Linked DNA regions of Oryctolagus cuniculus. Each later gene encodes a partner of the first gene's protein in a complex. Links are inferred from orthologs where the notes say so. Each region holds a gene or a part of one and is shown on either strand. Other genes may lie near its edges.

Region 1 (3,508 bases):
GTTTGGGAGCCTGTGTGTGTTGTTTCTTCCTTGGTCTCCAGGGCTTCAACATCAGCCACACACAGACTCGCCTGCTGTCCATGGCCAAGCCTGTGTACCACGCTATCACCAAGCACTCCCCCAAGAAGCCTGTCATTGTCTTTGTCCCATCACGCAAGCAGACCCGCCTCACTGCAATCGACATCCTCACCACATGTGCAGCAGACATCCAACGGCAGAGGTGGGCCCGGGCCTGGGGGAGGGTGAGGGTGAGGGTGAGGGAAGTTGGCCCACCCTGAAGGGTGCTCTGTTGATAAGGGTCGGCGGTAGCCCCATCAGATTTGGGGCTAGGGCTGCTTGGCTGGTAGCTATCTGCCTCAGAACCGAGCCACTCTGAGCTGAGTCAGTGCTTACGTCACTCAGGTTTTTGCACTGCACGGAGAAGGATCTGATCCCATACCTGGAGAAGCTAAGTGACAGCACACTCAAGGAAACACTGCTAAACGGGGTGGGCTACCTGCATGAAGGGCTCAGCCCCATGGAGCGACGCTTGGTGGAACAGCTCTTCAGTTCAGGTAAAAAAAAAAAACACCTCATGGTGTGGAGTGAGATCGTGTCCAAGGCTCCTACCAATTGGCATGTGTCAGACTTCAGGGTGTGGGTGATGTTTTCCCACAGCACACTCGTTTTTGAAGTACTGTTGGGATTATTCCATCACCTTATTTGATCCTCTCAAGAACCTTGTGGTATAGGGGGTACAAATATCCCTACTCTTTAGATGAGGAAACAGGCACATCTAAGGTGTTAAAGTCTAAGACTTTCAGCACTACATGGTTTTCCATGGATACCTGACTCCCTAAGGTGGGTGGATCTCAGACATTAATATGCAGTAGAGCTCTGATTGTCCCTTCAGCGGTCTCTTGGTCACTGTCCCTTGTTTACCTATGGCGTTTCAGAGTGGTGCCACTTTGATACTGCCTGGTGGACCTGCAGTGGCCCTGCCAGAATCACTGTCCCTCTTCCACACTTGAGCCTGTCTAGCTTGGGGCATGCTCATGGTTAGTTCGATTTTGCTTCCTTTTGCTGAGCTAGCCTGTGGCTGAGTTGGTGTTAGTACTTGCCACTGACGGGGCCAGTCCTTGCCACTGTAGTATAAGCCTTGCTTTCCCTAGCCTTTGGATTCTGTTCCAGGATAGCCTCATTTCCTCTGGGATGGTCCTTGGAGCAAGGCAGCAGTAGCAGGGTTACCTTTCATGTAGCGCTGTTAGGTCTCTGAGTCATGTCAGACCTCAATCCCCACCAGCCTAGCTCTGAGTTCTGAAACAGCTGCCTGTGCATGAGACAGAGATCCTGATTTGTCCAGAGAGCCCTGCCTTGAGTCTTCTTTTCCCTCTGCTGCTCAGGGGCTATCCAGGTGGTGGTGGCTTCTCGGAGTCTCTGCTGGGGCATGAGTGTGGCTGCCCACCTGGTGATCATCATGGACACCCAGTACTACAATGGCAAGATCCATGCGTGAGTATGGTTGGGCTCTGCATTAACAAACTTCCCTCCTGAAGTGAACTTAGTCTGCAGACGCAGAAATGAAGATACTATGAAGAAAAAGTATAAGGGAAATAAATACGCAGCTGAAATTCTACCGCAGCCATGTGCTGTGAGGATTTTGTCTTGGAACTAGTTGCACATTTGGTTTTTAGTTATTTTCATATTTCAGCGTGTGGGAGAACCAGGAAGTTAGAGCCATGTATTAGCTTTATGCATTTGATTAGCTGTGTCTTACCTGAGAGAATCTGCTTATGAAGGAAGTTAATTTTTTTTTAAGATTTATTTATTTACTTAAGAAGCAGAGTTACAGATAGAGAGGTCTTCTATCTGCTGGTTTACTCCCCAAATGGCCACAAGGGCTGGAGCTGGGCCTATCTGAAGTCAGGAGCTTCTTCGGGGTCTCCCACATGGGTGCAGGGGCCCAAGCACTTGGGCCATCTCTCACTGCTTTACCAGACCATTAGTAGGGAGCTGGATCAGAAATGCAGTAGCCAGGACTTGAACCGGCACCCATTTGGGATGCTGGTGCCACAGGCAGAGGCTTAACCCACAATGCCACAGCACTGACCCCAGGAAGTTAATTTTATTTAACAGTTTTGGAGGTTCACAGACCAAGATTGGGCATCTCCTTTGGTCTGGCATCTGATGGGCATGAAGGGTGTACAGAGGAAGGTTTACAACTTTGGGGATTAAACATCTGTGTGAGTTGGATAGGCAGATCTTACTCAGAGCATAGCAAGCCAGGAGGAATGCTACAGGTTATGTTGTTAATCTGTTTTATAGGTTAGGAAGACTTCATAGACTTGGTCATGCCCACACCCTGTGTAGTGGCAAGTAGAAAGTCCAGTCTTTCTTAGAAAATGAATAATTTAATCTTTTCCTTAAGATACAGATTATTTTATTTTATGGCTTCATTTTTAATGCCTGAATCTGCTGCTAGGTTTGGGTTTAAGTCAGGTAGCTTGATAACTCAGAAAGTACACAGCTATTGTGTTTGGAAACCTTGACTTGCACATTTGATCCTTCAGTGGGGAAATATTTTGCTTCTTTTTTTTTTTTTTTTTTTTTTTTAAGATTTCTTTTGAAAGGTGGAGTTACAGAGAGGGAAAGACAGATCTTCCATCCACTAGTTCATTCCCCAAGTGGCTACAGTGGTTAGATCTGAGCTGATCCAAAGCGGAGCTTCTTCCAGGTCTCCCAAGTGGGTGCCGGGGCCCAAGCACTTGGGCCATCTGCAGCTGCTTTCCCAGGCACATTAGCAGAGAGCTGGATTGGAAGTGGAGTAGCTGGGACTCAAACCGGTGCCCATTTGGGATGCCGACGCTGCAGGCAGCAACCTTACCTGTTACGCCACAGTGCCAGCCCCATATTTTGCTTTTTGACATTAGATAGGTTTGTAGCTTTGGTTCAAGCAACAAATACATGACCCTTACACTTAAAAACTGAAATATCAAATGAAACTAATTTCATCCATAAAAAGTTCATAAAGAGTCTTGCTATATTTGACCACATGTCCCCATGTTTGCACTTTGATGTGGAAGGCAGGCAGGCTTCTGAGGAGTCCCCCTGGTGATGCATCTCTTGCTCTCCCCATCACAGCTACGTGGATTACCCCATATATGACGTGCTTCAGATGGTGGGCCACGCCAACCGCCCTCTGCAGGACGATGAGGGCCGCTGTGTTATCATGTGTCAGGGCTCCAAAAAGGTCAGTGCTGGCCTGGGTGACACCACCTTCACATGGATTCTCTCATAAGCCACTAAGCCACATGGAGCTCCGCTGCCTTTTAATTTGCTATTGCTGTTGCCACTCTCTGTTGAAGTCTTTGCCCACTGGATGGCGCCATCTTTCCTCACACACTGCTTACTGTTCTGCCCATGTGACTTAGTGTGTCCCGTTCCTGCTGTAGATTATAGCCAGCAATGCCACATTTTGGACATGTTTCTCTTGTTTTTTTTTTTTTTATTACTCGTGTGTCTACAAAGA
Region 2 (4,067 bases), on another chromosome or scaffold:
ACAGACCGCTGGGTGTCGCCGGGCTCTCCTGGAGTGGGGTGGGAAGGGGGCCCGCGAGTCCACCTTGGTGGGAGGGCCCCGATCGGGCAGCTGCAGACGGCACTGGCTGGGTGCCCACAGCACACCCACGCGTCCGGCGCGCGCCGTGTGCATCTGGGCCTGGCTGAGCCAGTGCGCCCCAGGCAGGCTTCTGAGGCTTTGCAGACACCAAGGGGCTGTGCCAAGCAGTGCCGAGGCTCCTGGCGGCCCCATGGCCAGGAGCAGCAGCACCCATCAGAGGGACCGGCGAGGCACTGCCCTGGTCCCGGCGCGGGAGCCCAGCCCAGCCTCCGCAGGCCCCGCCCTCGGCTGGGCAGCCCGGATAGCCGCGCTGGGCCCGCCGGCCCGGCTCCACCTTCAGTATCCGCACTGCAAAGCGCAAAGCGGCTGCACGCATTTCGCAGGGTTCTGAGAGCCTCCAAGGCGCCTGCCACGTAGCAAGCCACACAACCCGAGGGCCGTCTCCCGACAGCACGGGCCCGGCCGGCCCCTGGAGACGACACGGACACTCGGACCTGCGCCACGGCCGGGCGCTGCAGGAGCCCCGCGTCGCACGTCCAGTGTACGCTCCCGGCACCTCTCCGGGGCGGGGCGCTGGAGGGGCGACCCAGCCCGCGAGCTCCCGCGGCCCTCGGGGTCGGCGCTGGGGCTGTAACCCGCCACCGCCGAGCAGCGGTCATCTTTTGTCCCGCAAGAGAAAAACGCACGTCAGGGCCCCCGGGAAACCAAAGCCACAGAGCCCCGAACGCCACGCGCAAGCCTCCAACGCCGCGTCAGAAAGCAACCCGGAGGCCGGCCTCCGTCCCGGCCTGCAAGCGGGGCGCCGGCACCCCAGAGGCCCCTCACGGGCGCCGGCCGCGAAAGCCAAAAGTGGCGGCGGCGCCGAGGAGGAGGCCACGGGCTCCGCTCACCTGGCCGCGGCGTGCGGCGCCGCTGGCCCGACCAGGCCCCGACCGCCCGGAGCGGGGCCAGCTGGGGTCGCTCCTCAGGAGAAAGGCCCGGCCCCCCTGAAGCAGCCTGCGGCGGCCCGGAACTCACCTGCCGCCGCCACAGCCCCCGCCGCCGCCTGTCAGTCAAGCGAGCCCTCCGCCGCGCTGCGCAGGGTCGTGCAGTCCGCTCGGCCGCGCCCCGCCTCCTCCCCCACAGCCGTCCAATCGGGCGAGGCCGGCGCCACGGGGGGGGCGTGGTCACGCGGGGGCGGTGCTGGTCGAGGGCGGGACCTGCTGGTTGGGGGCGGGGCCAGAGGGGCCGGCGCTCTGACATCACTGCGGCGCGCCGGAAGCGGCCCCCTGCCACTGTCCAGCGGCGGGGCGCCGGGACCGCCGGCCCGGCTGCCGCTATGCCAGTCACCGGGAAGACTTTCCGGCGGCGCCGGGCCGACTCGGAGTCGGAAGAAGATGAGCAGGACTCAGAGGAGGTTCGGTGCGTTGGGGGCGGGGCTCGTGCAGACCCGGAGCAATGTGCTTGGGGGACTGACCGCCGGCCAGGCCCAGCGCGGACGCTTGAGAATTGGGGTTGTGGACGGAGAAATTGAGGCGCCTGGGGGTGAGGTAGGAGCCCCAGGGCCGGGCAGCTGCGAGCGGGCGCGTGGAGGAGCTGACTGCGGTGGGCCCAGGCGCCGGGTCGCCCTCCGGCCTCGGCAGCAGACTCAGCCTGTGCGTGGTTTTTTGTTTTTCCAGATTAAAACTGGAGGAGACCCGAGAGGTGCAGAACTTGAGGAAGAGGCCCAACGGCGTGAGGTGGGTCCTGCGGACGCGAGGAGGACGGGGCAAGGGTGACGGACACTGCCGGCCAGGGACCCGCGTTCCCGGCCGCGACGCTTAGCCGGGACGTGCCCTGAGCCCTGTAGCCCGGGGCTGTGTCCCAAAGCTACCGCACGCCAGCAACTGCCCCCGGTGAATATGGGATGCCGGCAGTGCGGGCGGCGGCTTTAACCTGCTGCGCCACAGCGCCAGCCGGGACTCCGGTTCGAGTCCTGGCTGCTCCACTTCTGATCCAGCTCTCTGCTGTGGCCTGGGAAAGCGGTGGAAGATGGCCCAAGTGCTTGGGCCCCTGCACCCGCGTGGGAGACCTGGAGGAAGCTCCTGGCTCCTGGCTTCAGCTCGGCGCAGCTCCAGCCGTTGCGGCCATCTGGGGAGTGAACCAGTGGATGGAAGACCTCTCTCTCTGTCTCTCCCCCTCTTTCCCTCTCTCCCTCTTTCCCTCTCTCCCTCTTTCCCCCTCTCTCTCTCTCTCTGTCTCTACCTCTCTCTGTAACTCTTTCAAATAAACAAATGAATCTTTTAAAACAAAAAAGATTTATTGATTTAAAGGCAGAGTTACAGAGAGAGAGATCTTCCATCGCTGGTTCACTCCCCACATGGCTGCAACAGCTGGGGCTGAGCTGAAGCCAGGAGCCAGGAGCTTCTTCCAGGTCTCCCACGCGGGTACAGGGGCCCAAGGGCTTGGGCATCTTCTACTGCTTTCCCAGTTGCACTAGCAGGGAGCTGGATCGGAAGTGGAGCAGCCGGGACTCGAACCAGCGCCCATGTGGGAAGCCAGTGCTTCAGGCCAGGGCGTTAACCCACTGCACCGACCCCAGAAAACCTTTTTGAGGGATGTTTAACATCCCAGCAGATGTACAGACTGTAGTCTGTCAGCAGCTCTCCTCCTCTGGGACACGTAGGCCGTGTAAATGTGCACCAGCCGTAGAGCCGCAGTATTATTCTCTTACACTTGTCTCCAGCTCACCTGCAGAGTCCCTTTCGGCAAAATCTTGAAAATGAGATCGCCAGGCCAGGGTGGTGTCCGCTGGTGTCCACCTCACTCAGCACCCCCTCCCCAGCACCCACAGTGCTCGTGAGCCCTGGCTCGGTCCTGGGGTCTTCCGCTGGCTCTGGTGTCTGCCTCTCAAATGCCGCCCTAAAGTGACGTCGCACCTTCAGGCCTGAGTGTGCCTGAGTGGTCTCGGGGTGTGCGAGTCCTCTCTCCTCTCTGGTTCTGCTCAGTGCTGCCGCCCTGCTGGTGGGAGAGAAGGTACAAGAAGAGACCACGCTGGTGGTAAGTATGGGGTCCTCCGCGTGGCCGCTGTTCCGTGGCCGGAAGCCCCGCCGCGTGTGCAGCTGCCTCCCTGCGCCGTCTGCTCCCCGCAGGACGACCCGTTCCAGATGAAGACGGGCGGCATGGTGGACATGAAGAAGCTGAAGGAGAGGGGCAAAGAGAAGTAAGTGCGGGCGGGCGGGGCGGCCCCTCGGCCTGCGCCCAGCTCCACGCGTGCGCCCGGCCGTTCCGCGTGACGGGGCCGCTTCTGCAGGAGAGAGGCTCACCCAGCCCACAGCCCTGGTTTCTCAGCCGCGTCTGGCGGTGGCCTGAGGTGGAAGAGACAGGCAGTGGCTGGGCGTGTGGCCTCTGCTTCTCTGTCCTCCCAGCCTCACCAGGGCGCGCTCGTGGGCGCCCCCTCTGAGCACCGCCGGCCTCAGTACCTGACCCTGGGATGGCCTGTCACCACGCGGGCCCTTGGGACCGGGCAGAAACGACACCGACTGGCAGCGAGCTCGGCGGGGGCGGGGGTGCCCCTGTGCCCGTGGTCTCTCGACCCCTGGGGGTCTAAGAGTGCTCTCAGATAGTTCACAAGCTTAAGGACCACCGCTCATTCCCCACGGGGGCGCCGGAGGCCCTGGTCTCCTGCCGGGCGTCCTGGGCTCCTCCGCGTGTCCCGCCATCCCGCAGCGTCTGCTTTCTCCGGCCCTGAGCAGGGCGTCTCCTGTGCTCGGCCTTCCTCACTGCGCAGCGCACACACACACACACACCCACGCACACACGCACACACGCCCCGCCCAGGGTGACGGCGGCTCCGCCCACTCGGCTCTGTCCCCGCTTGCAGGATCAGCGAGGAGGAAGACCTCCACCTGGGGACGTCGTTCTCCGCAGAAACCAACCGCAGGGACGAGGACGCGGACATGTAGGTGTCTCCTGGCCGCGCCCTCGGAGCTGGCATTTCTAGAATTTTCCTGGAAGACACCGAAGTTGCCCCTCCTCCCGCCTCTCGG

Evidence for each region. Proteins that work in one complex are often made in the same cells at the same time.
Region 2: the proteins of SNRNP200 (region 1) and C1H9orf78 are in contact, whole or in part, in a cryo-EM structure (PDB 7OS2), measured with the Homo sapiens proteins. The link is inferred for Oryctolagus cuniculus from reciprocal best matches to the Homo sapiens genes SNRNP200 and C9orf78. Residues at the interface, in NP_054733.2 of Homo sapiens: Val1188, His1189, Leu1190, Gln1191, Glu1201, Pro1283, Ser1285, Arg1287, His1288, Leu1289, Asp1729, His1730, Asn1769, Tyr1770, Asn1772, Gln1774, Gly1775, His1780, His1784, Leu1788, Gln1791, Asp1795, Gln1798, Ser1799, Tyr1826, Thr1827, Glu1830, Leu1831, Met1834, Ser1835; in NP_057604.1 of Homo sapiens: Arg5, Lys6, Ile7, Phe8, Arg9, Arg10, Arg11, Glu16, Ser17, Glu19, Glu21, Asp23, Ser24, Glu25, Val27, Arg28, Lys30, Leu31, Thr34, Arg35, Val37, Gln38, Arg41, Arg43, Pro44, Asn45, Gly46, Val47, Ser48, Ala49.

Annotation. Positions count from the first base shown.
Region 1 is NC_091433.1:111,300,520-111,304,027, forward strand, and holds part of SNRNP200 (U5 small nuclear ribonucleoprotein 200 kDa helicase), read left to right. Parts: intron 1-41; coding exon 42-220; intron 221-402; coding exon 403-554; intron 555-1,382; coding exon 1,383-1,491; intron 1,492-3,120; coding exon 3,121-3,229; intron 3,230-3,508. UniProt on the Homo sapiens protein: Catalyzes the ATP-dependent unwinding of U4/U6 RNA duplices, an essential step in the assembly of a catalytically active spliceosome. Plays a role in pre-mRNA splicing as a core component of precatalytic, catalytic and postcatalytic spliceosomal complexes.
Region 2 is NC_091432.1:232,670,278-232,674,344, reverse strand, and holds the start of C1H9orf78 (splicing factor C9orf78 homolog), read left to right. Parts: upstream 1-1,265; 5' UTR 1,266-1,378; coding exon 1,379-1,461; intron 1,462-1,718; coding exon 1,719-1,778; intron 1,779-3,026; coding exon 3,027-3,078; intron 3,079-3,170; coding exon 3,171-3,241; intron 3,242-3,901; coding exon 3,902-3,979; intron 3,980-4,067. UniProt on the Homo sapiens protein: Plays a role in pre-mRNA splicing by promoting usage of the upstream 3'-splice site at alternative NAGNAG splice sites; these are sites featuring alternative acceptor motifs separated by only a few nucleotides. May also modulate exon inclusion events.